3 linked regions of the Struthio camelus genome follow. The protein of the gene in region 3 interacts with the protein of the main gene of each other region in a pairwise test. Links are inferred from orthologs where the notes say so. Each region holds a gene or a part of one and is shown on either strand. Other genes may lie near its edges.

The links.
Region 1: the proteins of BACH2 (region 3) and MAFG interact in binary tests that used the Homo sapiens proteins (3 or more experiments, as listed by UniProt). The link is inferred for Struthio camelus from reciprocal best matches to the Homo sapiens genes BACH2 and MAFG.
Region 2: the proteins of BACH2 (region 3) and BATF3 interact in binary tests that used the Homo sapiens proteins (3 or more experiments, as listed by UniProt). The link is inferred for Struthio camelus from reciprocal best matches to the Homo sapiens genes BACH2 and BATF3.

What each region holds. Positions count from the first base shown.
Region 1 is NC_090960.1:368,230-378,605, reverse strand, and holds the start of MAFG (transcription factor MafG), read right to left. Parts: upstream 4,308-10,376; 5' UTR 4,129-4,307; intron 3,412-4,128; exon of another isoform or gene 3,354-3,411; intron 3,317-3,353; exon of another isoform or gene 2,244-3,316; intron 98-2,243; exon of another isoform or gene 1-97. Other genes in the region: PYCR1 (pyrroline-5-carboxylate reductase 1, mitochondrial), read right to left, coding at 8,324-8,483, 8,610-8,773, 9,184-9,276, 9,800-10,021. UniProt on the Homo sapiens protein: Since they lack a putative transactivation domain, the small Mafs behave as transcriptional repressors when they dimerize among themselves.
Region 2 is NC_090944.1:114,272,915-114,282,788, forward strand, and holds the start of BATF3 (basic leucine zipper transcriptional factor ATF-like 3), read right to left. Parts: upstream 4,357-9,874; 5' UTR 4,275-4,356; coding exon 4,206-4,274; intron 3,497-4,205; coding exon 3,392-3,496; intron 556-3,391; coding exon 370-555; 3' UTR 1-369. UniProt on the Homo sapiens protein: AP-1 family transcription factor that controls the differentiation of CD8(+) thymic conventional dendritic cells in the immune system.
Region 3 is NC_090944.1:50,517,365-50,527,544, forward strand, and holds the start of BACH2 (transcription regulator protein BACH2), read right to left. Parts: upstream 5,040-10,180; 5' UTR 4,964-5,039; coding exon 4,943-4,963; intron 4,248-4,942; exon of another isoform or gene 4,182-4,247; intron 3,953-4,181; exon of another isoform or gene 3,938-3,952; coding exon of another isoform or gene 3,926-3,937; intron 1-3,925. UniProt on the Homo sapiens protein: Transcriptional regulator that acts as a repressor or activator. Binds to Maf recognition elements (MARE). Plays an important role in coordinating transcription activation and repression by MAFK.

The sequences.
Region 1 (10,376 bases), on a different chromosome or scaffold from region 3:
GTTCATCTGTCCTTCCACACCCCTATTCCCACGGAGACTTGTGGCAATGCTGTTTTTTGCTTGGGGTGGGGGATATTAAAACACTGGGAGGAGTCAGAATACACGGAAGCCACATTTTTAAAAATAGCCTGGCAGGCAGCAGGCTCAGTCCAGAGCACGGCTGCTCCAAGCCAGTCATGCTGACTCAGCACATTGGCAGTCTCGGGGCCTCCTGCTCCCAGCCTCATCCCTTGTAATTCTCAAGCACAGCAAGCCAGCTGGTCACTGCAACACCCCCTCTCTGTTAAACACCCAAGCACAATCTGGGATTTGGGAACTCCCCAAGAGAAAAGTCCTGCCAGATCCTAGACATTCCCAGGGACCCAAACAGGCAGGGTTAAGAACACGTGACCCAGGGCAAGCTGCACGGGGGAAGCCTTTGCCTCCACAACACGCCCCACGGAGCATCCTACAGGACAGGAGACGCCCCTCCTGCACTCGCTCCCATCCAAACTTCTCCTGCTTCCCAAGAACGCCAGCACGCTCGGGGTAAGGTTGAAGCTCTGCACCCAACCGTTTCGGGGGGAACGGAAGGACAACCTGATCCTGCAGCACAAGCAAGCATTAGGCACGCTGGATTCCCATCGCAAATTCGGGTGATACCTCAGCAGCCCTCACCTCTCCCAGTCAGATCTTTTCTATGAGAAAGCCCCTCTCAGTCTCCGGCAATGCCAGGACACAGAATCACTTTGTCCCCTCCCTTATCTTCAGAGCCAAGCTTTACTGCATAAGAAAACAAAGATTAAGGGAGGCCAAAAGTAGAGGAGAGCAGACCCCTTCACTGCCAGGGAAGACAGCACTTCAGAACTGATAGGAGAGCAATTCCCAGGTCTGTTTTTAGAGTGAATCACACCCAAGCCCACGCTTCTGTCCCTAGATACCTCCTCCCCTCAGGCTTTAGGTCAAGATGTTACTATATTGCCCAATTAATTGAATCCTCTCAAATATTATTCAACAGACATCACTGCAACTCAAACAACCAGGAACTAACTGCAAGCTTCCTTAGGCAATGCGAGGATTCTTGTACACATCAGTCCACAAACACCTTCATACTTTCAGTCTCCTCAGTGCCCAACGGACAACAAAAACGCATTCTCCCACATAGCCGCTATTTTGTTTGCTAAACGTAAGAGGCACTGGCACAGGGCTATTGCCAAGAACCACATGCACAAATCCGCAAATGCAAATTTATGCTCTTTAGCAGCTGTGGCTCAGGCTCTCTGCAATGCATCTACCACTGTCCATTAGAGGTGAAAGGGGTTAGTGCTCTCCAAGACACCTAGTAGACAGGTAAAATTCAGATGCTCCCAAAGCTTGGAGCCTGCCGGGAGGCAGGCTATTTATACCCAGAGGACAATGTTCCTTCCAATGAGATGCCTGCTACAACCTGACAGTGCTGGTGTAAAAAGGTCACTTTGTCAGCCAGGGAAGCTAGCTGCAAGGAAGCAGGCTAACACAGGACGGGCAGCACATACGCAATTGCTTCATAAAAATCAATTTTTCCCTTTTGCTCATACCTCTCTCCTCTGCTCCTCCTTGGCAAACAACATGGCTGCTGAGAAGAGGGGCAGAAGAAAGGGATCAACTGGGGAGACCAATAACGCCACCCCAGCAGCACCTCCCTGCAGCGTCCTCTGCTGAGCATAAGGAGCAGAGGCCAGGCACGGTCAGTGGGAACGGAGAAGTTTGTTTGCCTTGTGGCCTTAACCAGCACTCAGCTGCCTGGCAAGCACTCAAACTTCCTTCATCACAGCGGAGCTGAAAACAAACAACCAAGGCCACGGGCGCTGCAGCAGCAGACCGGCCCCGGGGAAGGGAACTCCGCCGGGCAGGCTGCGGAGATTCAGCAGCGGTGCTCGCACAGCCTGGACCCACAAAGGCCCTGTGGCACTGTCACTGCTGTTAAAGCTACAGGAACCCACAGAAGAAAATCCCAAGGAACAGGCTAACATGGGGGAAGGAAACTGCATGTTCAAATTTAGGGCCAAACCGGCTCAGCAAAACCCTTTACCGGGGAATCCAGAGGTCTATGCAACGCATCTCAGGAGCCATCTAGAAACACTTCTCCTATCCACATCATACAGCTACAACCTGATAAAGCAAATTTTTTACATGACAAAAGCCTGTGATTGGGTTGGCTGAACAAACGAGGCTGCCACAAAGAGGCCTTCTAACGAAGCCCACTGCACCCTCCCGACCCTCACCCAAAGTGCTCGCAGATCCGACCGCTGCTGTCAGGAGAGTCAGGGCAAGCGGGAACCAAGAGGAATCAGTAGCTGGGAGACATCCAATGCACTGCAAGAAGCCAGTCAGGATGGAGGCAGCAGACTGATCCGCAGACAGGAGAAGAGACTGGTCCCAGTAATTTAACCTTTTTTTGTATTTTAAGAGTCAGGCATTTCCAGCTAGAGGAATCCAACTTTTTCAGGCCTCGTTCCCATCCAACACGCCTCCCAGAACAGCCTCAAAGCTGTAACAAGACCCTGGCTGACAGCATCTGGGTGATTTCACCTCTCCTCGCCTCCAGTCCCCTTTCCAAAGGGGTCAGGGATGGAGACAAACCAACACACTAGTCCGTCGGTAGCACGGGAAGAACGACCTAGACACAAGTTGCTGGCTATTTTCTGGCCTTGCTCAAAGGATCAGAGACAGAACCATTTGGCAGCTCGCACAGAGGACACCCAGAGAACTGGCGTCAAGACAGAGACCAAGCTGGGTCTAACTCTCCAGACTGCTGATTCTCAGCTTTCGATAGCTTCCTGAAGAAGGATCACACTGAGAAGTGCCAAATGCAACGACTGCAATGAAGAAAACGCAGCCTCAACACATTTCCCCAGAGCTGGAAAGGCCTGAACTCAGCACAAGCACGGCCAATTCTCTCCTCAGCCCAGAGGCAGCACGACAGAGCTGACAGCCGCGCGCATGATTCGACGCAGGCCCCATTCTCCACATTCCTGATTCACAGAGCGGTGCCATGAGCCCAGTGTAAACACGGTGACGTCACTCGTTCCAGCACAGGCCAGCCCGGAGAGGGAGGCCCATCTATCGGGATGCGGAGGCAGGGGAAGGCGCCGGGCGCTACGAGACGCTCCGCGGCACGCCGCAGGAAAGTTCTCTCTGCCCGCGCGGGTTTTGAGTTAGTTGACACAATTGTCCCAGGAATCCAAGCAGATCAGTTGTTTTCCCTCGCTACACGCACAGTCTGCCTCCCGTGCATCCCCGCTCTTCCCTTGGGAGTCCGAGGTGAGCTCGCATCCAGAACGCTTCCACCGTAATTATTCAGTCAAGGAATCTGCCCGCGCACCCCGTTTTACCTGCGCTTGCGGGGACGACGGGAGCAGCCTGCTCTCAGAGACCCCCTCCCCGGTCCCAGCGGTGTCCTCCCCCCAGCATGCAGCTGTATATTGAAACATCGCTAATTCTGGGCGGTCAGAGAGGCAAGAGCCTCCCCCTAAACACACCAAACCGGGGTCCTGCCCTCCTAGAGCAGGGAGAAACGGGGCACGAAGCAAAAACCCTCCGCGCCGGCCAGGTCCGGCAGCCTGCCGGGCGCCTTGGCCCGAGCGAGCGGGAGGACGCGCTGCGCCCCGGCCCCGGCTCCAGCCCCGGCTCCAGCCCCGGCTCCAGCCCCCGGCCCCGGCCAAGGCCTCGCAGCCGAGGCTGCCCCGGCCCCCGGGGCTCGGTCGCACCGAGCGGAGCTGCGGCGCCGCCGGGGAGGGCGCCCGCAGCCGGGAGGAGCCGGGGCAGCGGCCGGGGGGCGCCGACACCCCCGGGCGCCGGGGCGGGGCGGGGGCCGCCCTCGCTCGGGGCGGTGCCGGGCCGGTCCCGGTCCCGGGGCGGCTCCCGGGCCCGTCGGCCCCGCACCTGTTGCGCGGCGCCGCGGCGGGGGCCGGGCGGGCCGCGAGCCCGGGGCGGCGGCGGCCCCGGCACCCCCCATCGCCCCCCATCGCGAGGCGGCGGCGGCCCCGCCCCCGCCCGGTCCGGCCCCGGGGACCGGCCCGCCGCCCCGCCCCGCCCCGCCGCGCCCCGCCCGGGGCCGGGCCGCTCCCGCTGCGGGGCCGGGGCTGGGGCCGCGCCCGCCGCGCTCACCTCCTCGCGGTGCCGCCGGGGCCGGGCCGGGCCGGGACCGGGCGCTGGGAGGGACCGGGACGCCGCCAGCCGCCGCCGCCGCCGCTGCTCACGGACGCGTCACGTGATGTTTGGGTCACGTGGCTCCATTCATGAAGCGGCCGGTGCAGCCGCCCCGAGCCTTAAGGGGGACGCGCATTACTGTCGGAGGCGACAGCGATAAGGAAGGGGGCGGGGCGTGCCGCGCCTTAAAGGGGAGGGGAGGGGAGGGGGGGCGGCCGGCTGGCTCCGGGCCCGGTAGCGCCGCCGCCCCCGAGCCGCGGGGACGGGCCCGGCCCGGCCGCCGCCGCCGCCGCCTCCTCCGGGAGCCAGAGCAGCGCTGCAGCCGCCTGCCCGGATAAACCAACCCGGAGCGGGGCCTGGCGCGGCCGGGCACCGCCCGGCTCCTGCGGCGCCGCCGCCCCGCTCCCGGCCCGCTCCCCTGGGCCACCGCTGCAATCACACACGCGAAGCCCTCCGCAGGGGCTGGCACAGACCCCACGTCCAGCGTTTTAACTTTGCCCCAGTGCGGAGGGGAGCATCGCCCCTGCTCCTGCTCAGCCAGCCGCTCCCGCGCTTCCACGCTCCTTGCTCCGTCTCAGCAGCTCATCTTTGCTGCATCTACAGTTTCTCAGAGCTGCTGAAACTGCAGGGAGCAGCAAGGTCTCCCCTGAAAATGCTGACTTAAGGAAGAGGGCTTTGCAGCTGCTCTCCGAGGCATTAGTGACAATGCTGAAGCAAGTTTCTGCTGAAAAAGTGTACGAGCAGGGCTGGCTCTCGGGCTGTGAAATGGTGCTCTCCCCCCCATCATGCCTGGCTTGACCCATGTGTCCCCATCTATCCTGCTATAACTCTGTGCTCTGTGTCCATAACACAGCAATATTTGTACCTATCCTCTTTGCTGCTGCACGACAAGCAAAGCAGGCCTCTGCCCACCAGAGCACACCAGATGAGCACAGCGGAGGAAGGACATCAGTGAAACCAGGCACACATGAATTAAGACATCATGGAGAAAGCATGATCCTTATAAGGAAAAAATCTGGGCCCTGGACATTCAACAGCAGCTCCACTGTCCTCTGCCATGCATGCAGGGGACACACAAACTAGAGCCGCACAGAGTCATTTTATATGCTTTGATGGGCTTTTTCTCTTCTGTGCTGACCAGCTAAGTTACAGGTCTGCAAGCATCGAGCAAGCTCAGCTCTAGTTCTTGCACAGCAATGCCTCTTCTAGGGCACACTGGGGCAGCCCATATATCCCTCTGGAGGGGCACAAGCTCATTGTGCTACCTTTTATCGTGTTCCACATTATCAGCTGTGTGGAAACACTTTGTGCAATGCCCCATTCACTTTTTAATCAGACAGTATTTCAACCATCTGACTTACAGCTTGGCAGATCTGTGCAGGGTGTTCACAGCTTTTGAGCAGGGAAGGAGAGGAACATGTGGCACCAACTTGCTTCCCATGGACTCTTGTCTGCAGTAGCAGAACTGCTAGGAAGCCTACAGTTTCAGGACGGTATGACAGAAATTAACACTCAAAAATCCTCAGCCTGATTTCAGCCAGAAGGCTTTTTTCCTTCAATTTTCTTTAAACCTCTGAATACTGGTAGCATAGGGCCCTAAAATAACCCTTATGTTGTTGCTCAGGAACTGTAAATGACAAGGAGAAACTGATACCTTCCCAGTCCCACGGCCAAACGAGCCTCGAAGACAGGAGAGCAGCACAGCCCAAGCACACTCCCTGGGAACAGCGAGGATCTGCTGGCACCAGCCACAACCAAGAGACCCACCCAGTCCAAAGAGCTGGGACTAGCCACAGGCCTCAGTCAGAGAAGCAGTTTATTATATAAAGAGGGAAGAGGAGTCACCATCTCCAAGGCCTAAAGGGTCATACCCTGCTACCAGCCGAAAGCCTAACACTGAAGAAGCTTTTCTATTATTAGCACCTTTGGCAGCCTCTGCACTGTTACCTAAATGCTTTTCCTGTATCACCAAGATACCCAGGATTCCTCAGGAGAGAAAATAAGCCCAGCTTAAATGTCTTCCTTTTACCAGCACTACCCCAGTGTATCCCAAGGTAGAATATAGTATGACATTTATCCACCCAAACCCCCTCCATCCCCTCTAGTCTGCTGCTTCCACTGCAGCCAGCTAAAAGCGATAGGGGCAGTTTGAATGCTTTGTACTGTTTTCTGGCTCAGGATAGCACTCAGGGTCTGAGAGAAGAGTAGAGGCAAGGAAGCCACCCAAGGGTATTTACTATAAAAAAGTCACATAAAGCAGCAGATGAAACCTTGTATTTGCTGCTGTTCTTGAGATGGCTCCCAAGACCGTGCCTGATTAACCATCTTTCTACATGATGGGCTGTAATCCCCCCAGTTGCTGAGAAGGGTCAAGCAGGGCTTCCCTCTCAGCCTGCTGCTACCCCAAGCCTGGCCAGATTTCTCCCCTCAGAAGTCCTGGAGTTCAATGGGCACCAGAAAACACTGCTTCCAGACCCCATTTTTCTCTGCTGTTTCTTGCTCACACATTTGAGTTACGGTGGAGAGAAATTCTCCAGACGGGAACATCAAGGGTTTTCCTCCTCTGCAAGGGTACAGTCATCTGGACACGCTTCACCAAACAGCTCCTTGTTGCTGCACAGGCACTAGGCACTCACGAGTACTCCCTTAACCTCTTTTGTGTCAGGCAAGGACTGAACCATTCTCTTCCTGGATCTCATGCAAGATAAGCTATGTGAGAAAGAACAACATTTGAGCCACAAGCCAGACCAGAGGATTCCGTGTTTCCCTTCAGTCTTGTATACTAAAGGACTAGGAATGCAACTGCATGAAGCATCCCCAACTAGTTTCTAGGTGTTTCCTCTTTTAGCCATTAGCAGCGTGATGTCGTCAAAAGAACAGGAAGAAAAAATAATAATCAGAAATGGGCTAGAAAATGCCAAAGAAACCTAACTGTGCCAACACAAAGGGATACTGAGGGCTGCTGTGCCAGAATTCATCATCCCAGCCCAGGGCACTATTGTCTGGAAGGGAGAACCAGCCCACTGCAGCATATCTAAACTGCAGGAGCTGAAGCACAGTAGCCCCTGGCAGCGAGTGCCAACACCACAACCCAAGAAGACGACACGGCCCAATTCAAGGAAAGGAGTCGAGGAGAGTTCTGCTGCCACGCGGTAACCCAGCACCTGGGTACCAAACCCAACCAGACAAAGCCCACTTGAGCCTAAGGGAGCAGCGCAGTAGAGGGCTTTCTCTGGGGGAGGGTATCCCTGACCTCCGCTCTGCACTTCTCCTGGGGCAGCAAGGAGAGCATCAGGAAGCACAGCGACCACTGAAGCATACCCATGGGTGTATGGGAGCAGATTCTGCTTGTGAGGAGTTCACAGGTGCCAGAAACAGAGGGAAGAGGGAGCACGTGCTACCCCTCCACCTGCCCAAACACCCAAGAAGGCTAGGCAGCAAAGGAAGGACAGTGAGAGTAGGTCATTGTTCCCAAACTACGTGCAGCAGGGAGAAGGAGTAGCCAGTGAAGAGAGATGCGGTGCGGTTCAAGCACTTGGGGTGCTTGAAGGCCAGGGGTTCACATCATTGGGCTGTCAAATCAAGGCAGATGGGAAACAGGGCAGAGGCACTTTGATCCCTTTTGAGAGGTACATTAGAGCCTAGCCTCTAATGGAGCGCAGAGCACTGCATTTCTGCAGTAGTATCTGTTCTAGCTAATATAGACAGTGACAGAAGACAAGCTCTGACAGCACATGCTGAGGCAAGAGGGATCCAGCCTGGTTCAAACCACTGAGACCAAAAGGCATTCTGAAACCTCTTAGAAATACCAGTAGAAACCACATCTGCATGGGACACAATAAACACTGCCTGAGCTCTGGGGGTATCCAGGGCCTCTGGCCAAATGATGCCCTTGATAAAGCTCTGGTGATGCTATCACACCCCTGCCCAACAGAGAACAGCAACGCTAGGGGCAGTTTTCACCAATCCCGCTAGAGGTGATTGATAGATAGATAGATCCTCTCCTACAGCCTCATGCTGCCCCACAGCTGCTGCAAGCTGAGAGCCAGGTATGGGGAACACCAACATCCACAGCGAGAGGTTTTTCCTTAAACAAAGAAGAAAGGACATATAGGAGACTGACTATCAGCACAGCCAGATTACGGTAGCCTGGTCAGTTCTTCTTACTGCTGGGGCTCTTACTGGTGAACAGACTGACTTTGCTGGCAGATGCCACAGACAGAGAAGGAGATTCCAGCTTGACCTTATCTAACAAAGTCTTCTTTATGGCTGCTGGAGAGATCTTCTCCTGGTCTGCCAAATGCTGCAGCTCCCTGTGAAGCAGCGGGGAGAAAGAGAGAGTTAGATACAGCAAAAGGGAGAGACCCACGAGGTGGGTTTGTAGCCTCCTCAGGAAGCTACAAGTTTTGTAGCCTCCTCAGGACTTCCTTGGTGCCCACCTTGTCCGGATGCATGAAGCTTCCACGGCATTGATGAGGAGTGAGCGAAAGCCGCCACTCTCCAGAAAGTGCAGGGCGTGGATGGTGGCTCCCCCAGGTGAGCAGACATTGTCCTTCAGCTGACCCGGATGCTGCTCAGACTCCAACAGCATTTTGGCAGCACCCTGTAGTGAGGAAGAGAAAACAGCTGCCAAAAGCTCTGACTGAGGAAACTTACTGCCAAATACTCCTGTTCTCCACTGCATAGAGCAACACCTAAATACTCACAGTGGGCAAAACCGGTCTCCTGCCTCACAGCCATTAGCAGGCTGCCAGCTCTTCCGAGCTGAAAAAGCCTGCAGGGAAGTCATGGTTCTCCTGGCCCAGGCTCCCACAACGCCATCAGCACCAGCAGGTATCTGTGAACACTGCCTACATTCCCTCACCAGGGACTTGTGTCCATTCCAATGAAACACATTTTTTAAGTGGATTTAGTACAAGGACTGAGATAATTTTAAACAATTACGTACAGAACACTCTGCACTGAACAGGCACAGGCACAGATTCAGTGTGGTTTGGAAGAGGAGCTACTGACCAGCAAGGCCTGGGCTCCAAGCCGAACAGCCAGCCTGCGAGGAAGTCCCATTTTCACTCCTCCATCTGCCAGAGCATCCAGGGCAGTGAACGCCTGAGATCACAGAGAGAGAAAAATGGCTGAAAGTTAGTCTCTGCTCCAGGGCTAATGTTCTTAGGAAAGAGAGACGCCAAGGCTCTAGGAGCACAGTATAACTCCTATTGCTTAGGAGAACTTGAAAAAAAGTCACCCTCCAGTCAACCCAGTTCTCAGGTGAGACTGCTCCCCTTTACTGCAGGGGTGCCATGCCAGGCTTCCCTCCCACCTGTTCCAGCTGAGCTGGGGGGAACGAGAGAAATTGAGTTTCTGGGTCATACTAACAACAGGCCCAGGTTTTGCAACACGGACACGTGGACGCTGCACACTGGCTATGGACTTCAGCCTCAAGTGACTGTTAACGGACTCTCATTGTTGACCCAAGCTGTTATAAACTGGGTGCCTGGATTATGTGTCCCGTTGCAAATGTAAGTGACTAGAAAAAACAAAAAATCACAAGCTGAAGTTGCACAGACTTTCACTGCATGCAAAGCCCACTTCTCTCCCCATGATTGTCGTAAGTTGAGGAAGCAGCACATACATATGCAGGGCCGCTGCCACTGAGCCCCGTTACAGCATCTATCAGATCCTCTTCCACTTCAGTGCAGAAGCCTACACTGGCCATCAGTTGTTCCAAGAGCTTCCCATCCTCCACATCTGCATGAGTCCCAGTGGCATAGACTGTAGCACCTTCCCGGACAATCACAGGGGTGTTGGTCATGCACCTGATCACTTTTGGTGTGGGGCAGAAGGTAGAGAGTTTCTTAGGGTAGAAAATAATTGGAGATAGAAAGAAAGGAGGAAGAGACAAAAAAAAGAGCTTTAACACATATTTGGCATACCAAACAGACTGCTTAGGAAGGAACTCCCAAGGGACAAGGGCAATGCAAGCAGAGGGAACAGGGAGACTCCTCTACCCCAGCTTCCCAACTTTGAGCCAAAGCGGACAAATTTTAAACGTGACGCCTGCAGGAGCACCACCAAACGGAGAGCTGGGCAGAGCTGCTACTGGGAGCGATACCTGCAACACCTAGCTCCCACCTGACTCACAACTCTCCACATACGGCTCCCGCAGACACTTAGCACAAAGTCTACAGGAATTCAGGTGAGATGACCCA
Region 2 (9,874 bases), about 64 Mb from region 3:
TAAGGATGACAGTTGACAAAGGGTTACTAGCGGTGGATGTGTGGGAGAAAGGCATCCCAGCCTGCGGCCGGTGCTCTTCTGCGCCTGCATTCCATGCCACGATGGCGGGCTGCAGCCTACTTCGACACTGCTGAACGCAAAACCACGGCTCATAGATTCTACCAAAGAAATTACAGTTCAGGCTGTCTTTTTTCCATACTGATGTTTTCCTGAGATTCAGAAGACTATAGCATTTCGACATGGAGAAGACCTGTGTGGTCAAGTCCAGCCCTCTTTAAGGAAAGACCTGCGCTGTAAGTAGGCAGTTCTTCAAATCTCCCTTGTTAATGGGTGCCTTTGCCCTCACTGCAAGGTGATCAAGGAGAGCTCTCATCTTGGCAGGCAGCTGGTGAGTGCATCAGGCCTTGGTATGGTCACAAAGTTCACGGAGCAGTGCAATAGTGGACAGATCTTTTCATGATCCTTCAACACTTCACTTAAGTGTTTCATTTCATCTGTTAGCTTTCCAATTTCTCTCTTCAGGGAGGTATTTTCTTGCTCAAGAGATTCATATTCCTGGAAAGAGAAAAAAAAGGAGACTCCTCATAGTCAAAACATTCCCTTCAGTGCTTCCACCTTGCACATATTCATGTCACCCTAGAAAAAGTGTTGTTTCTGCTTATTACAGATGTGCAAAATGCTCAGGAAAGAGCCTTGAGTAAACCTGGGTGCTTTGAACAGGGCGAGTGATTTACGATCCGTGCCTGACGGAGCTGCGACTCCTCCTGCGGCCCCGAAGACGTGGGGGTGCCCCAGCCTGGGCGGGCACTCAGCAGCCCAGGGCTGGGAGCCCGGGTGGCCATGCCCTGGGGTGGCCAGAGCAGCCTCTGCCAGCCCTGGCCGCTTCTGCAGGCAGAGCGGTGAAAATGAAAGCACCAAGTGCCGGTAGGTGCCGGGGAAACCCCAGTGCTCAGCATTGCTGGTGAGGAAAAGGCAGCCCCCACCCCAGGTAGCGCGGGAAAGCAGCAGCTTAGGCGGGCGCTGGCTGAGAAGCGCACCTAGCACAAGGTGCCCTGGCACCAGCTGCTCTCCTCCACCCCTGCCGTGGCTTGTAGCCACCTGCTTGAATGCCTGGGAAGCAAAGAGCAGGCTGCGGAGGTGAGCGTTGAGCCAGCTTGCCCCCGAACCGGCTTTGTCTCCAGAAATCCTGACCGCTGCCTCGATTATCCATGGCTGGGGCTGCTTTTGTGCCGAGGCCTCTCTGGCAATGAATAAGCTGCTCTTAACTGCAGAGGAGTTTTCAGATGCTCTGCAGCAGACATCTGTGACGGAGGCGAGAATCGCATTTCACATTTCTGTGATAACAGCAAGTTGCAAGCGTCCCTGCTGCCAAGACTGCTCGTCCCAAAGAGAAGAGAGCTAAAGGTTCAGGTCCAGCCCACAGAAAACCTGCAGGTGTCCGCACCTCGCTGCCGGCCTAGGCTCAGCGCTCACCCACTCAGTCTCACCTCCCTGGGAAAGCTTCAGAGCAAACATCAAAGCCTGCACATGCTTTAAAAGACCTGCTTACCAGAAAACAGGGAAAGTCTCTCACACAGGGCTCCTCCAGCTTTCTTTAAGACTGCCTCTGCTTCCCTTCCCTTCTGTAAGGCACCCTGCCTTTCCGTAGCGGTGTCAGTTTAAATCGGTTCCAAAACTGTGGTGTGAGAAAGAAATACCCGGCTGAAAAGGCTTCTTTGGAACTCCAAAAGCCCCAAGCGCGAGAGCTCAGCTACTTTGTGCACTGGTGTCCTCTCATAGTAACAGTGGGTGTTTCCAATACGCATGCAAGTATCTGATTCTTCCAGAAACTTGTAACGCTTCTCAATATATCACGATGCGGGGTAGGCTTCTTGTGTGCCCTGTGCAAAGGCTGGAGAACAGGAATTGCCTTTCTCTGTGTGTGGATGCGGTCCCACGCAACAGGGCTTTTGTTGTAGCCGGGGCTCTCAGGGCTACCTCGGGGTAAATGCTAGTGCTGCTGCTACGGCTGCTTCCTGCTGTGGAAGGATCTGCCTACAGGAGGCAGTCTCAGAAGTTCTGGTTTTGTTCTTTTCCCAAATCTCCTCTGAGTCAGTGCCTGAGAAAGCCAGTTGCCAGGGTACTTCTGGAAAGGGGCAACCTCTGGCTTTCGTGGAATCATTGACACATGTCTCATCTCCAGCCTTTCTGATGCTCCCTCTGCACTGTTACAGAGGATCTTACTCACGCTGCCAATCTGTATTAGCAGGCAGGCAGGTTTTCCCAAGGTGCGAGGAGATTTTGTTGAATAAGTATCCGGTCTTGGTACAGCAGTTTTGTACTCTCTTCCCTGAAGATGGGACAGATTAACTGGAGAGTACTGCTTACTTTAGGTCCACGGGGTTTCAGGCAACAAGAGGTAAGCAGAGTCAGGGATGCTCAGCTTTGCTGGAGTTTGGCTACATTCATGCTTAGGAGGATCACGTATGTTTTATTCTGTGCTTGCAAGCGGTGGTAGGTGGTGAAAGGGTGTGAGGAAGGCAAAGGGATCCTTCCACCTTGTGGGAGAGAAGAGGCTGTGCTGAAAGTCCAGAGCTGCACGACTGGCACAGCAGCAGCCGTAGCAGCAGCACTAGCATTTACCCCGAGGTAGCCCTGAGAGCCCCGGCTACAACAAAAGCCCTGTTGCGTGGGACCGCATCCACACACAGAGAAAGGCAATTCCTGTTCTCCAGCCTTTGCACAGGGCACACAAGAAGCCTACCCCGCATCGTGATATATTGAGAAGCGTTACAAGTTTCTGGAAGAATCAGATACTTGCATGCGTATTGGAAACACCCACTGTTACTATGAGAGGACACCAGTGCACAAAGTAGCTGAGCTCTCGCGCTTGGGGCTTTTGGAGTTCCAAAGAAGCCTTTTCAGCCGGGTATTTCTTTCTCACACCACAGTTTTGGAACCGATTTAAACTGACACCGCTACGGAAAGGCATGGTGCCTCCTCCCCTGTGAGGTGTTACGCGTTCACGCTCTGACAGAGCATACCCACGATGCTTAACACTAACCCAGAAAACATGGCTCAGCTTTAGCCCAGAGGAGTCCTGCGTCCAGTTCAGCGGGCGGCTGTGGGAACGCTTGCGATGGCGCAAGAGGGACGGCAAGACAAGGGCAAGGCCACGTCCCTCCATGGCAGTGCCACCGGCGGCAGAGCGGCACCGTTACTTGTCCAACCTGAACACCCTGTGGCAGAGACTTCTCGACCAGTGATACGCCTGTCTCTGCTTCACACCCACACCTCTTTGAGCCAGATTAGCATGACGACAGGCCCACGCCTGCCCGAGAAGTTCCATTTATCGTAAAGTCCCGCACATGGCACCCAAGCTGTGCCTGCAAAACATCAAGTACCCATTCACCTCGTGAAGTTTATCCGCTTTCTGAGTTTGCTTCTTCCGGCTCCTCTGGGCAGCAACTCGATTTTTTTCTCTCCTCCTTACCTTCCTGTCATCTTCTTCATGACTCTGGAAGACATAAGCCACCGTGCTGGTTTTTACGGTGCACGCGGAGACTCTTGAGGTCAGGCAAATAACTGATGTCAGGAACAAGCGGGTCCTCCCAACTTCACAGCACAGCCAGCTCTTACACAACGCCGGCCACCCACGGATCGCAGGGTGCCCCGCAAGGGCGATGCGCCCCCTGTCCCCCTTGCACAGGTGGCAACCGAGGCGCGGGGATGCTGGCGGCGCAGCCGGGGCCCCTCCGCGGGGGCGCTCCGGCAGAGGACCGAAACTCGCTCCCCTGCACGGGCAGCGCCTTGCACCTGCTTCGCCCCCGGGCGGGCGCAGGGAGCCGAGCCGGGCCCGCTCCCCGCTGCGCCCCCGGCTGTCTCCCGGCAGAGCAAAGGCCGCTCGCGGAGGGGCAGCAAACTGCCCAGCGCGCAGCCCGCTCTCCTACCTGCCGCAGCCCCCGCGGGTCCCCACGGCGGCTCCGAGCACCCCCCCGCCGGCAGCAGCTCCCCGCGCCGCCTCCCGCCCCGACGCGGCTCCGCCGCCGCCGAGCGGGCAGCTGCGCGGGAGCCCCCGGCGGCGGCGCCTCCTCGGCCGCGGCTGCCCCCTCTCCGGGCGGCTTCGGCCGCGGCGCCCGAGGGCGCCCCGGCGGGGCGGCCGGCCGTGACTCAGCCCCATGTGCCCGCCGCGGCGGCGGCGCTCCGCGCCGGCCCCCCTGCCCTACCTGCTGGGCGCCCTCGGCCGAGGCGCTCCGCTGCAGCACGCTGCCCGCCGCCGGGACGGCGCACGACATCCCGGGAGGTGCCGAGCCGCCCCGGGCCGCTCAGCGCCGCCGGGCTCCCCCGGCCCCGCGGAGAGGCGGGGAGGGGAGGGCCGGGCCGGGCCGGGCCGGGCCGGGCCGGGCAGGGCAGGGCAGGGCACGCTCCGCCCCGGGCCGCCCCGGCACCTGGCGCCCGCACGCCGCTCCGCTTGCCCGGCCGCGGGGGTGGAGCCGCCGCCGCCGCCCCGGGAGCCCCGCCGCCGCCTGCATGGAAATCACGTGGCGCCCGCGGCTGCCCCGGGCCGGCCGGGCCTGAGCCCCCTGCGCCGGGCAGCGCCGCCGGCGAGGGGGCCTCGGGTGCCCTGAGCAGCCCCGGCTGGGCAGCCCGTGTCCCCCCGCGCTGCCGGGCAGGGGCTGCCCGAACCCCCCCCCCCCCCGGAGAGCCCCGGCCCGGGGGCTTGCTGGGCTCGGCGCCCCTCCGGGCAGCCCGACTCTTGCTTTCGCCTTTAAAAATAACCGCCGAAGAGTTTCCCTTCTCCCCAGCTTTCCTCCCCGCGGCCGGGCAGGGAGGCCAGCGCTGCTGCCGCCGCCGGGCCGGTCCCGCCGCCCCCTCCCCTGGCGCCCCGGCGGGAGCCGGCGCCGGCAGACGCGCCCGTCCCGTCCCGTCCCGTCCCGTCCCGTCGCGTCGCGGCCGCGGGCGGGGGCGGGGGCACCGCCGCCCGCCGATAGCGGCAGCGGCTGCGGAGGAGCCCCGCGGAGAAGCGGCGGCCGCCGGCAGAGCCCGACTCACCCCGGCGCGCTCAGGGCCGCGGCTGTGCTGATACAGCGACATGGGCTTCCAAAAGCGGCGTAGACTTCAGGGAGAGGACAGCAAGACAAGCCGATATTCCTCGGCGTAAGGACAAGCTATCGGTGTTGGAATAAAACCGTTTTCACTTTCGCTACTGGTCCTGTTCCCTTAAATAATAAGGAAATGCCGCACGCTTCTTGTAAAGGCAAAGCAAGACAGCGCCTGCTGAACACACAGCTTCACATACAGCTCTCCCTGTTCGGTAGCGTTTCAACAACAGTATGCTTCTTTGATCCTTCCAAACCTTCCAACTTTATCCTTCCTTCCAAGTAATGTTTCTTTTATCCTTCCAAACACTTTTCCTACACTTCAATTGAACTGCATCTTCTCCCTCAGCTCTGAAGCTCTGAATGCATGTTTGCAGATAGATGCGTAGCAACATCCTTTCGGCGCTGTGGATATATTTGTATACCTAACCTGCGCTCCTCAATTCTCATGCAAAAGCACGTCCACACGAGGGAAAGTGCCCCAAAACTGCAGTGCAGTCAGTCACAAAGCCCCAGGTATCTTAAATTAATAAGTTGGATACTTCCCTATTTTTCTGCTTTCCCCAGAAGTTTGAGTCATACAACTTAGATAAACATCAGGTTACAAAGTTTGCCAACTGCGTTAATATAGACTATTCTTTTAGGAAGATCTGGCCAACAGTTCGTGCTGAACGTGAGAACCACACTGCCTGGGAGTCCGAGAGTCAAAGTAAAGTCTCTGCTCTACCGCAGGTTTCCTGGTTGACTCTGGGACCATCAGCTAGATCAGTATTACTGAAAGACCTGAATGGGACTTCCCCACCGGGAAGCCCTTCTCCCCAGCTGTTCTGCCTCGCAGCAGCTTGAGTCTCCATTTTCCAGGCCACCTACAGCTTCGCTTTGGCACTTTCTCAGAGCTTCTCAACCCCCAAGGACTGAGTGCCTATGAGCCTTCCCCACCCACATGACCCCTGGACCCACAAACCACACGGGCTCCTTCGGCTTTCTTGCCAAAGTGTTGCAACCCAGTCTGTGTCCTCAGACTGTGCTGGGTCAACCCAGCACCTCACAGGATGTTCCCAGCCCCGGTTTCTTTAAAAGCAGTCCTGCAGCTCCTTCTCCCTTTCCGCTTCATACAACATACAGACGCAAGGGCTCACCAAGGAAGCAGAGGGTACGGGTTCAGTGCCGCTGCCCAGCTGAAGGGCAGCAAACCAGCATCTCCTGGAGGTTAGCCGCACCCATTAGGCAGTGAGCAATTATAGGGCGAATTGCTCTCAACCTCTCCTTTTGAAACAGTCCAATTTTGCATTAAACCACTAATCACAGAGTTAAAGGAATAATAAATGCGGGCATGGGTGGACAATTAGCTGGGACAGTTGCTTAGGAAGAGAGCGCTAGGTTCCTTGTCTTCTTTATAGCTTAAGCACATCTGGAGTGAAGCACAGGACTAGAACTCAGTATCTGCATAAGCTCAGAGAACAGGCTGCAAAGAAAACCTATGAACTGAGGAAAAAAAAGCCCCCTTCTCGCAGACGGACTTTGATCTGATTCCACATGAAGCTTTCATGCTTTTTCAGAAGCAATACTGCTATTAACAGCAACTGCACAACTAAATGATCTAACTGAACCACGTCCTGACCAGTTTACGAAGGACTTGTTAGTGCTGTGTAGCTACCCTACTGAGTAACTCCCGGCAACAGCCAAACCCTTCCAAATACTGTAGCGTGAGGAGGTTTGCAGGATCCCACAAATACAGGACAAGCCACAGAAAAGTCCCCCTGAGCCAGAGTGTGGTCCGCTCTTGTTCAAAGTGACAAAGGAAATGAAAAGTCAAAATTTGCTTATGGGAACAAGTTTCTGCTTAGTATTAAAGTTATCTCTGGTACATCTGAAGAAATGCCTACACAGTAATTCCAAGTAACACAGCAGTAAGGGCAGAGCATTTCTATACAGGAGAGAAAAAACAAGTCCAGAAAGCACACTAGTCAGCTGAGTTTACATTTTATAATGGCAGTTTATCAGTGATTTTTGTCTGCAATGAAGCAACCTACACACATTTAGACTAGAGTTGCTGAATGCAGTTTAACATAATACGGCTTTTCTGAAGAACGTCCCATATCAGAACTGGGTTTCAGAACACCACGTGCCCAAACTTTCAAACTGCCGTTGGTGTCCATGGGAAGATTTCTGGAACAGGAGATCCCCTGCATGCTGCGTGCAATAACCTCTGTTCAGAAAACCACACGCAGTAAAAGAGTGTGCGCATACCGCTCCGATTTGTAAATTTGTTATGGGTAGGGACGGCTCACCACTCTAGTGACAAGCACAGCGCTGACAGTACTTACCAGCAAACAGGCAGACGTTCCATCTCACCTAAAGAAAGCTAAGAAATTCAAAACCTGCTTGCAAACGTTCCCAAGCATCCATCACTATTGAGTTGTCTTACAAAAGTCAAAGGCTATATTAAGAAAAACTACCAGACATTTCTTGATGCAACACCAATTCGCCTCAAGTTAAAAATAAGAAGTTTGAACGTTGTGACATTTCAGTAGAAGCCCGATTAGACGCTTGTCTTGCACAACGTCGCAGATTTCTATGAAAAGTTAACTGAAGGACACAAGGCTGTCGGAATGGGAAAATGTGAAATATTTTATATTTTATTTCTGACAGTGGGAAAAATATCTCCCAGACATTGCTTGTTGCAAGTATCTCTTGATGTAGAAATTTTTAACAAATATTTGAAAAGTAGCTGAATACTCAGCCAGTCAGCCACAAGAAGGGTTGAGCTTAGCTCATCACCCGACTTTCATTTAAAGAGAGGGCCTCTGATCCCTTCCATTGCCCCTTGGCCAAAAGTGGCCCCCCCCGAGATTTGTAAACTCCTAGTTTAAATGCTGCACTTGCGATCTTCATCGATTTGTTTTCTTTATCTTTATGCCATGTATTTGGCCAATGTTTCCAGATGTTTTTTTTTTCCATCCAGCTGTGATTGAAATGAGGGACACAGAACAAGGCACAACTGCCCTAGCTCAGGCTACCAGGCATCTGTTCTCACTTCTTTCAAATCCCATGCAGCCTGACTGTCCCGCAGTCTCCTAGCTAAGTGTTAATATGCATTGTAGGATAAATTTATTAATTCACTTATAGGTCTTAAATCCACAGTGTTCTCCCTTATTTCTTAAGACATTTGTCTCATATTGGCCTTTTCAGATGGAACCTCTTCAAAGAAACATGCCTATTCCTTATAAATCCTAGCCCTTTTTTGGAACCTGCCTATCATTATTCAGAGAGAATGTCAGGTTATCTTTCTATTAACACAGAAAATGCTCAAATACCACGATGATAGACATATAAAATCGTGCAGTGCTCAGCTCAGTATAGAAACATTCAAATTGAAGAATATATGCGGATCTTAACGAAGAAAGTGATGGTTATGATTTTCAATCCAGCAAGGAGCATTCATACTCAAAGAAGCTAGAACAGCAATCCACTGTGTGAAAAACAGTCCCGGTCCCACGTTCCACAGCTCTGCAGTTCCAGCCCCTCACACATCCTGTCCTCTCTTACATTGGAGCCTTTGTAGCCCTGAGATTAATAACAGTTGCGAGTTCAAAGGCACTAAAAGGAACTACTTCAGTTACTCAAGCCTGAATTTAACACAGATGTCTTCTGAAGTGCTAGTACACTAGCTGTTCAGTTACCACCTATGCCAGGATTAGAACAGACAATATGATCTGAAACTTTGATCTTTCTTAATTGATTTAATTTGCTTTGTATAAAAACATAAGTTCATATATACAAAAGCGATCTGAAACAAATATTTACATGTGATTAAATATACAAAATCTCAGTACAGATGCTCAGCTTTTCAAATCTAATGATAGTAAAATTTGTCACACATTTTCTTGAAAAGTTTCAGTCTCGTAAATATTAAGTTGGACCACCTTCTTACTTCAGTACATTTCATTAAAAAAGCTTCTCAAAAAACCTCAAATTGCTGTCTGAGTAAACACACATTAGACATGAGTATATACTGCAAGCATATGCAATCATAAGCTAGAAAAAGTTATGAACGGTTAAGGCATGCTGCTGAATTTAGTACTACTGTGCAATTGTTTAGGTACAAATGTGTAAAAAAAAAAAAGGGTAGGATAGCTCAACTTAATACTATTTACTGTTACTCTACACTGATTTTAAAAGTTTAGTCAAATATCACAAATGCATACATGAACCAAGTCAATATCCTGTAATGCATATTGTCCAGGAAACCCCCAAGACGGCATACTTGGATTACATGAAACGAAAATATCTGATGAGATGTGTATGGCCCACCCTTGTTCAGAATAGCATATATGTATGTATGTAAATATATACAATTATAAAAACTCCAAGTTTAAACAAACATGACTATAAATAAGTCCAGCTGACCTAAATTCAGGAAAGGTCTAATAGCAGGGACCAATTTTACACTTACATGTGGATTTTCTAAAACTGTAACAGCACACTAAAATAGTGTTTTTAATATGCTCCAGCGTGAAATTCTTTTTTATTCACTTACTAAAGAAAATAGTCACCCAAATGAGTATAGATGAAGGTGTATTCTGAGAACTAGATACTCTCCAACCTCTTTAGACACATGCTTAATGTAAATGAGCAGTCAGTGGGCTACAAAAAGACTGCCCACATACATGAAGCATGTGCAGAACTCTTTGAAGCATCAGGACCCACGCTGAGTCCTGCAATAAAAGAGCAAGAAGTGAGAGTTAATCAGTAAATATACTTGCTGGATAGGTGCTACTGATACGTTTAGGCTT
Region 3 (10,180 bases):
TTAGAAAAAGCATTTGCTTTCCAAACAGGAAAAAAAAAGGATGTGCCAAAAAGGCAGCTTTCTGGAGTTAAGATACCACAAGAGAAGCAAATGATGGCAGATTTTTAAAAATATGTACAGATCAACACAGTAAGAAACAGCCTGCATAGCTGCAAGCACTATGAATGGGCGCTTAACCAGTCACAGTGGTTTCCTGTAGCAATGATGGTCTAAGGACACAGGCAGGATAAGCCTTATATCCTTTAGATATCAACTCTACTTTCTATCCAGACAGACAAGACATAATGCTACCTGTTACGCCACTCTAGCCCAGTTCTAATGTGGGAAACGCTCAGACCACATACGAATTACAGTTTGCTACCTCCCACTCACTTTTTGCTATGTTCAGGGCCCCCTAATAAATTGCTCCATTGCTAAATCCATGTGGGGCACCTTCTTTTCCACAGGTGCCTCACTCCTTTTTAATCTGGCCTGTAGGTTTGCTATGGTTTACAGAGAGAGGCGGCAACGACGGAGCCCTGTATTCAGAGGAAGATGGGCCCTTACAGATTTGGAAAACTTGCTCTTTAGACTGTTTATTATCACAAATAGTCAAATAGTGTTAGAAGAGACAAATTCCCGAATCACTGAATTACTTTTAATAACGAATTCTGCCCTGCTCCTTTGGATGAGGCGATGAATGACTCTACAAATATTTTCATGTCACTGAAATAAAGAAAGAAAGGATCAAATTTAACTTGAATACCTATTAACTTTTTTCAAGGTTCTTCTCCGAACCGCAAACTTCCCAGAAGAAGTGCGCTTCAGTTTGGCCATATTACCCAGCAAACGTTCCCACACCTTGAAGCAGTATTTACAGGTGAAAAAACCTACCCTGATGACTGCTCTTTTGTTTGTGCTGCATGTCTATCATCCTACCTTTTGTGAATGCTGCGAATCAGAAGTTACAAGCTCCTAAGAGTTTTGGAGAGGAGAAATCAAGCATGCTTCCAAACCACTATTTACAGCATGCATATTCAGTGATGGTTTTCATGCGTAGGCAAGTGGAAAAAGATGTTTTTAAGCAGTACAAAGCCTGCTGAAGTGTTATTAGAAGCCCCAAGGCAGGTGGGGCTTTTCATATGCTGCAGAAATGAAACATGTCGTCTTCGGGGAGAAGCTGCTGTTATCTTAAGAGGCCTGTCAAGAAGGGGCAGTTTGGGAGAACTGCGGGAGCTGAACTGCCTCACCTACAAGGAAGCTATGAAACGACAGGAGCTAGAAGGCGTTGTATGCATGTAAGGTCAGAGACAGAAAAGCAGGTAAGCCCAAACAGCAGCTCTCACCAACCTCTGAGGTACTGCCCCTGAGAGGACAGATGCAACAGGTGACTACAGAGAAAAGAGTGAGAAATAACTCTTCCACTCAGCATCATCGCTGCGGTTGCAGGAAAACAGGTGGAATTAGCAGTGGGTTTTACCTGAGAAAGGGTGGATGAAGAGCAAAATAGCTGGAGGTATGCACCTGTGCTGAAATGGATGAGGTCTTTGGACTTTTGCTGCACCATCACCATGACGTAACGCTCCTAGTGAGCCATACCACAAGCCTTGCCATGCTGTCTGAAGTGCCTTCAAACGGGATCAGAGAGAACAACGTTCGTGTCCCACCATCTGGTGTGGCTCATCCCAATCCAGCTGGAGGCATAGAGCCCCAGATCAGGCTTCCCAGCTGGCAATGCATCACCTCCAAGCAGCGCTAATGAGAATGGGGGGTAGCAACCCACCCCTCCGTACACACCTCTGCTAAAATCATCCCATAACCAAATCCTCAGCCAAATGAAGAAATGGATCACTGCCTGAGGTACATGTGACTAGATTTTTACCCAAGTCTGGAGGAGTCCCAGTTCCTACCTGAGTACTGGGGGCTGTGCATGCTCAATCCATGCTGCAGGACGGTATCTGCTCTGAACAACTTCTGGAAAAATACTGTTGCGTCATCAATACATCTGTAATCCAACCAAAAACTTAAAAAGCAGCTGAGGAGCTTTGCATGGTAAACATAGAAAAACACTGATTTCCAAGCCTGCAGCCAGTTGTTCTATAATATCTTCTGCTTTGTGCTGACAACCTTTTTTCCCTCCAATCATTCAGGCACAATGCCTTCAGGTCTGTCTAAGTAATGCAATTTACTGGAGTGGAATTCCCTTGATACCTTCTGCAGCACTCAGTGACAGTATCATTTATACTCGACACTGTCATGCCATGACACTGATACATTGGCTTTCATCCCTCATTCACTGCAGAGTGTGCAATTTCACCTTCCATTGTGCCCTTCTGCAGACTGCGCGTACAAATTTACTCCATTCATTCCTAATTACAAACCTCTGCTGAAATACTCTCATTAGATTTGTATTTCTCACTCCAAATGTCAATCTTATTTGAAAATTCCAATTTTCCGGAAGATTCATCCATTAGCAATAACCTCCAAAGCATTCCTTAACTGAGTGCATTAGAAGCGAAACTGGCAGAGCAGAGATGCACTTAAAATACACCATTGTAGTAAATCTCCATTGCTAATGTTTTTGTATTATTCGAATAATGCAATAATGAGCCCACGACTGGCCATTTCTGCTCCTCCAGCACATAAACGGCATAGGCTAACAATTAACTGCTATGTCAGGATCCGATGGCATTGTAAGGCTGCGCTGAGTTTCTAAGCATTCCCCATTCCCGGTGAGCGCGTGGGGAGGGCATCGTGGGCTGAACATCATCCGCTACCTCCCCAGCTCCTGCTTTTCCCTAGGAGCTCCCGCACATCGCAGGGTGCCACAATAGCCGAGCTGGCCGGTCAAAGGCAGCCTTTATGTGCTGGAAGCCGCTTCTCCTTGATTTTAGCTGGGCATGCCCGAAACTAAGAGCCGTACAAAGAGTTTACGACAACTGTAAAAACGTCTGACTGCAGACTGCGTGCTGCAGGAAAGGCAAGTTAAAAACCAAGCTCAGGGTTTCCCAAGGGAGCAGACAGACAGTCCGCTCTGCAATCCAACAGGTGAACTAGAGCTCTACAGCTGCAAACCTCAATCACATTGCTTCGGTCTCTTATACAAATCCTAATCTGGTGCCTACGTTTCACTTCGAACAGCGTACAGAAAACACAGACATACGCTGTATACGCAGCAGCTGTTTAAGTGCTTAAGAACAATCAAAAAGAGATCCATCTACCTCTTAAAGAAAGGGTGAACACTTCACAAATGTTATCACCATATAAGGAAAAAATTTAAGACGACTGCAGCGTTTATCGATAGTTGTACAACGTGCCCTGTGCGCCACCTCTAAAAATAGCCTGTGTGGTGATACCCCCGGAAAAGAAAATACTGTCTCATCCAATTGGAAAGTGTAGAAACAGTGAAAGGAGCATGAGTGTGCTTGCCACATGACACACACTCTCCTGGTGTTATCTTCAAAGCAATCACGTTTGAACTCATCTGCGTCAGGCGCAGCAGTAGAAAGTAGGGGGAAAAAAATCTACATCTGTATCAAAAAGGGAAAATTCCACAGGAAAAAAATGTCTACACTGCCTGTCAGCATCTGGTCACCTAAAGGATTGAGACGTGCAGATAATTATAACAGATGTAAGGCAATTCCCTGCAGAAACCACCACCATGGAAGCTAATTATTTCTGAAGTTTAGCCCATTCCCACCTGAAATATTTAAAACCTTGATTACTGCATTAGCTCTCTTGCCTTTTATACTTTTTATCAGCAGCTGGTCTCAGGCATGTGCACAGATGTTAAAACAGAAACACGCATTTAAGCAAAAAGGCATAAAGGAGGCGGTAAGAGTAAGGTGGTAGTAACGGCGCTCACAGTGTTCTCCTCCTAAGAAGAGGGAGAGGTTTGCATTAAGGAAATTTAATGGCATTTCTTATTGCATAATAAAAAACTCACCACAGCCAGCATCAATATTCCCACGGAACAACTGCATGTGCCTCTACGTGCCTCCCATATACCACATCCTCCGCGCCGCATGGAGTTATTCAGAATGAAAACCTATCGTCTTATTTAGCCGCGTGCTCCAGTCAAACAAACGAACCCTGCTGCCACACTACAACGCCTGGAAAAACCTGGAAGGGTCACAGAGTGACAAGAAGGCCGTGCAGTACAAGCTGACGCACAACGGAAAACAAGTTTTCAGCGTCTGTACCTTCGGTTCTGCAGCTCTTGAAGAGATGCCTTCTCTCTACTCATCCATTACAAGAATTGCATCAAATCGAGAAGCTTGAAATGCACAGCCACGCTCGTTCTCTGGAAATGCCACAACTACTTAATGAGTGAAGCAGGGAGAGCACCAAACCTTAGACCATACAGTTATGAATTTCCCTGCATATGCTGACAACATCTTCTCTTTAATGTTTCTCTTGGCCACAGGAGACATACCAATTAATGTGGTCATAACCGTTTTAGCAGCTCAATATATTTCAACTAATTTAGCAGATTCCTAACCGGTGTGACTACCTGGAAAAGCCACCAAGACAGCATATTTCAAGACTGGCACCCTAAAAACCAAACTGAAAAGGTTTTGCATGCCAAAAATTAACACTGAGAATTTTGTTTCTTGATGCTCAGCAGATTTGTACAGATTTCCTCCCCGCTCCTTTTTTTTTTTTTTTTTTGGCCAAAAGATTAAGTTCTGGATCAACAGTTCAAGTTACATAAGGGCGATTTTGGAGGGCTGGTTTTAAAGAACTTTGAGTCCTCTCTAAAGCCGCTTCTTCCAGATACCAGAACAACTCCGTTTCCAAATTTCTTTCATCACCACTTCTTACTTATGGACTAAGCTTAACTCCTTTTTTTTTCTTAGATAAGAAAAAGCTGATAAATTAACATAGCTAGACAACACTGCAAGTAAACTCTGTCTTTCATCTCAACACAGACACATTTACAAGTATTCAGCACAGGACTTACCAGATAGAGATGAAGCTGCATGTAAGCCAGTCATCAGAGCTAACAGAACGATTATGCTTGCTCTACAAATTGTGAAGCATTTGAATCTTATTTTTAGTTGTACACAAAGGGCAATAAATGGAAAATCTTATTGTAACCACCGCTTTTTTTTGGCCACCCACACTTCCAACACCTACAGCGCAAGTATATAAATGCAAAAAACCCAGAACTCATGGCTCATGTGAACAAGGGATGCAAACTAGCTAAATGCTGTTACTTTTTTCCAATTTGTACTTGGAGTTTCATCAGATCCTGTTAAGCATCAACGACACAGATATTCATACACGCGGCATATCTACTGGGTCAGGTATCATGTTGGATTTTCACGCATTTAATTAATTATTTGCTCTCAGTTATCCGGTGGACTTCTTCTCTAAGCTGGCTAACCACTGATGAATTTTCAAATGATGAAACGGTGGAGATGCATCTCCCTAACTCTCGGTTTCTCCCCCTGCTCCCTAAATTAGTGATGTATAAGGAGTTAATGCTTCACTTACCTGTGAGAAATTATGCTGAATACTCTACCCAGAAACTGGCAATTAAAAAAAAAAATCCCTTTACACTCATAATAGTAGAAGAACTTGAAACAAATTGCTGTCAAGGATGATTTCATTATGTTTAAATCCACTTTACCTCAACTTGCTTTGCAAATTACTTTTTAATTTTAAACATAAAACTCCCGCACCTACTACAACGCTAGTTTATCTATGTCTCCCGTGCCTGATTCTTTCTGTTTACACCAAGCACTCTGCAAAGCAACACAAGTATGAACCTAATTACCATCTGAAACGCTGCAGAAAGTGAACCCAATTAACTGATGAAAAGAGAAATAAAGAAACATGCCTGTCTTAAGAGCAGACTAAAGAAAAGTACAGGTGAAGCCACATCTGGGGATGGGGGGGGGAAAGGAGAGTTAACAATCTGCCGTCATTAATTATCTTGCCGCCTCTGAAAACGCAAGTATTATAGAGGGTAAAGCATCCATTACAACACTCCCTCTTCTGAACTCTTCAGAAATCATAACAGGAAACACGTGCCGTAAGCTTGCAATTAAAATTTAACAAAATAATTCAGACCAAGTGTCAGCTCCAGAAAAACGTGCTTTTACCTGCACTCGCTCACTAATCGCCAGCTAGACAGCGCGGCCCATCCTCTCCCAGCAGCCAACCCGCAGCCCGAGGCAGCGCCAGCTGCTCCGAAGGCACGGCACTTTACGCAGGACGCCTGAAATCAGACACAACGCTTCTCTGGCGATGATTTAGGTCGCAGGAGTGAACGTGTGATGTATGCTGTAAAGGTGCAGGTATTACGAAAAAAATGGGTCATACACCACTGAGCTAACAACCACACCACCCCCAAAGCTGGTACTAAATGACTGTGCAGAGCTCTGCCAGAAGGAAAGGATAGATTTAAACAGCAGTGAAAACAAAACTGATGCGGTGAGATGGATTTTACTTTTCACTGGTTTGGGTTAGAGAGAAAGTTAGATTACCCTGTCACCATCGCTCGGTATTTTCTTAATAAATGCGAACTGCCAGCAGGTAAGCTCTTCTGTGGGAAACTTCAGCCTCGCCAAGGTGCTGTCCCCCTCCACCTACGGGGAAACGCTTGTTATCTCATTCCCTATGGTAAGAGGAAGTGTTACCAGCCCCGGGCGGTGGGCTGTGACTCAGTCGCTCGGGCTGACACACACACGCAGGCTGTCACCTGCAACAGCAAAAATAAAATCCTCGCCACAACATCCCAGTCACGTGGAAAGCACGGAGTAAATAGATCAATAATACCTCACACCTACAGAGCGCTTCACACCTTTGAAGTGATAAACAAACATTTGATTAATGGCAGGAAGGGAAGAGGTGTCAGAATAATGCCGTTTTGTATGTTGTAGCGTATTAGAACAGACAACACCGTCCTCCTCAGACCTAACAACTAAATACAGCACAGAAATTCCAATTATTTGAGTGCGGGGGACAAAATTAGAGGGAAGGATCTGCTCCGTGCAGCCAGAGTGCTGTCTGTTCGTGTCACGAAGCCCTTGCAACCAGCCTCTCCTGGTGGCAGGAAGAGCCGTCGCTGCCCATCTGCGGGCAGAGACGCCTTGGCCGCGGTTAGAAACTATTGCTTAGAAACCCTCAGACAGGGATGTCTGCTCACTGCATACACGTGTGCGCGCACACAATAATCGTGCATGAGGTTACACCTAACGTTTTCCAGACTCTACTGAATATATTTGTTCTAAAAATATACATAATGCGTGTGCATACATATACACGTATGTGTACGTATAAATACAGTTTTCCAATCGACAGATAATGCTGCAGCAAATACTTATCAAAAGCAGCGTTCAGGCCCCCAAGCTTTGGGTTAGCCCTGCCTTGGGTATGGAGACACGGGCAGCGCTGGGGAGCACCTGATTACAGAGAGAGATTGCCACAGTGACGGCGGCAGCAATCAGTGGTCCTATGTACTCTCAGCGGCGGGCAGCAGAAGCAACCCAATTAATTAGCAGCGAAGAAAATTTGCTTTAGAGCATAGGAAAAATCTTCCTGGCTATTTTAAGATCGAGGCCCTGGCTGCCGTGGGAGGTTATGGACCCCCCCCCCCAACCCCACCATGGGAGATTTTAAGCTGAACGTGTTAGTGATGGTACATTGGGTGCACAACCCTACTCAGAGCTGGTGGGCAGAGCAGTGTGCCTTCTCCAGCCTACTGCTAGCTCAATGATATGCCATGTCAGTACCATAACACGGGCAAAAAACCCCTTTTCTATCCTAAAAATAACGCTTTCCACTGACTTGTGTCACACCTTGGACTTTACCACCAACGCTCAGAAAGGCCACTAGCAGGTTCCCAATCTCCAAGCAAGGAAACGTACCAGAGAAATCATGACGTCCATCAGGTAGCATCGCTGTGGCTACCAATGTGACATGGAAATCACCTAAATGCTACAGTGATATATGCCAATATGAAGCTCTTAAAAAGACAGAGGGCAAAACTCTGCACAAAAAGAAGTTTCTCATCCATAGGAAAGCATTTCTGGACAGGTGGCAGCCCTTTGCTAGGACTATGGCCCCATTTAAATAAAATACTTGATGTCCCGTAGGAATACCTCACTCGCACGACCAAGATACCAGCAGTGTTTGTACCCAGAACCGAGCAACTGCCTCCCCTTCCTATCTTCACTGCATTCCTGCCAAATACTGGTGATAAGTCAGATGCGTGCACCTCTCGGAAAGCAAGCCTGAAATTTCGCAGGACAAGCAGTTCTGCAGTTAACGCACAGAAAACACAGAAAGCACCACATGAGAATGGGACTTTTTTTTTTTTTTAATTGAGATTTTGTGGCAGATGTGGCCACATCTCAAATTAAAATCCAGTGCTGTCTGCTCAGCAGCATAAAAACACCCGTCTCCTTAGCTATGACCATGGCACTTGGGAGCGGTTGGACTGGATTTGGTAAGAAGAGACCCAAGTGTTTGGTAAGTAGATGTTCAAAGGGATGGGACTTGACCTTCAGAGATCTGGTTTCCTCATTAATCCAATCAAGTTTCCTGACCTTTGGGTGCAGATTTATAAAAAGACACATTTTTTTCCCAGTCTGTGGTAGTAGGCGGATGACAGACATCTAATCATCAAAATCTGCATCTTAAAATTTTACATTATTTACATCTGCCTACAGACGGTAGCAGGACAGAGTTAAAGAAATCTTACAAAAAGAAATTGTGAAGAACCCATACCTAGAGAATATTGATGTCGTGTGCAGAGGCTTTCTGAGTTCAAGTTTTGGGGGCTTTTTGGAAGAGAGCACTTACTTAAAGGCTCTTGCTGAATTCTCCACACAGTCTGTGCACAAGCAGCACAAATTAAGACAATTTACTGTCCTCAGAATGCCCTTGATTGGTGCGTTATTTTTGCCGCTTTTAAAGGAAAAGGAACAGCGGCGAGACAAAGCCAAAAACGGGAACACAGCGCTGCAACTGCAGCTCGGAGCGCGGTCCAGCTCCCCCGTGCTGCCGGCAGGGCAGCTGCCGGGCCCTGTCCCGGTTTTTGCCCGGGGACACAGCGATAGCAGCAGCGTCTGGTCAAAGCCCCATCTGTATCATGTTATTAGTGATCGCTCAGGACAACAAACTACGAGCTGTTCAGCTTCTCCCTAATTCCTACGCTCCCTCGTTACAGCCCCAGTCGAAGCTCCCCTGCGATTACTCCCAGGGGACCCGGATAAAGGCTTTTTATCTCGGCGTGTGAACAGGGTTTAGCAATCTGCTCTATCAGAACAAGGGAGAAGCCTTCGGCTCTGAATTAGAGCATCATCAGTGCATGCTATTTTTTATGGCGATCACATCAACCAGCACGCTCGCAGCATTATAAAATGTAAATAATAATGAAACAAAAGGGGGAAAGGTACGCTTGCACGCTAAATACGCCGCACCTCGGGAAAAGCCAGAACGATACGACAGTTTTAGCTCGGTCAGCCTCGCACAACTGCTCTCTCCAACTGGGCTAATCAGTCCGGGAGAACTGGGTTCCTCCTCCTGGAATCGCTTGCAGGCTGATGCTTGCAAGTGGAGTTGCTTATTAAAAAGCCAGACAGCAGGCTCGTGAGCGACACCGGGAAAATTAAGTCAGCAACTGCAGGCCTGCCCGTGCAGCCAATGCCACTGGCACAGATGTGGGGGCCGAGCTGGTGCCCCCGCCAGCAACCCACTGCCCTGCAAGGCGACACATGCATTTTCCTGGAGTTAGGGCGCATGCCATGTTTTAAAAGTTTGGCATGATCCCGAGCGCACAACTGACAGAAACAAAGCAAACAAACAAGGAAAGCACCTATTTTACAACAGCTTTTTCATCCTTGCACTGTTTTTTCAAGTTAATTCGGCGGTCAAATACGATTTTACTGTTGCCAACAGAGACTTCTGATTATCCACAGTACAAGCAGGAGAATAAAACATCCTATACACACTTCTGCCCATGGGCTTCAGCGGTGGACAGGGAACGAGAGAAGGGTTTTTTTCCATTTATGTCCACTCAGCTTCTGGCTGCTCTTTCAAGTCCGCTATGAAGAATGCCATTTGTAAAGTTAGTTCCTCTAGCAGGGATTTTGAGAGTGAATTTGCAAGGTGGCCAATCACAAGCATTGCAAAAATCCTGAGAAAAGTCCACAAAAATTGTGAGTAAGGCTTCAAAATGACAAGGGAA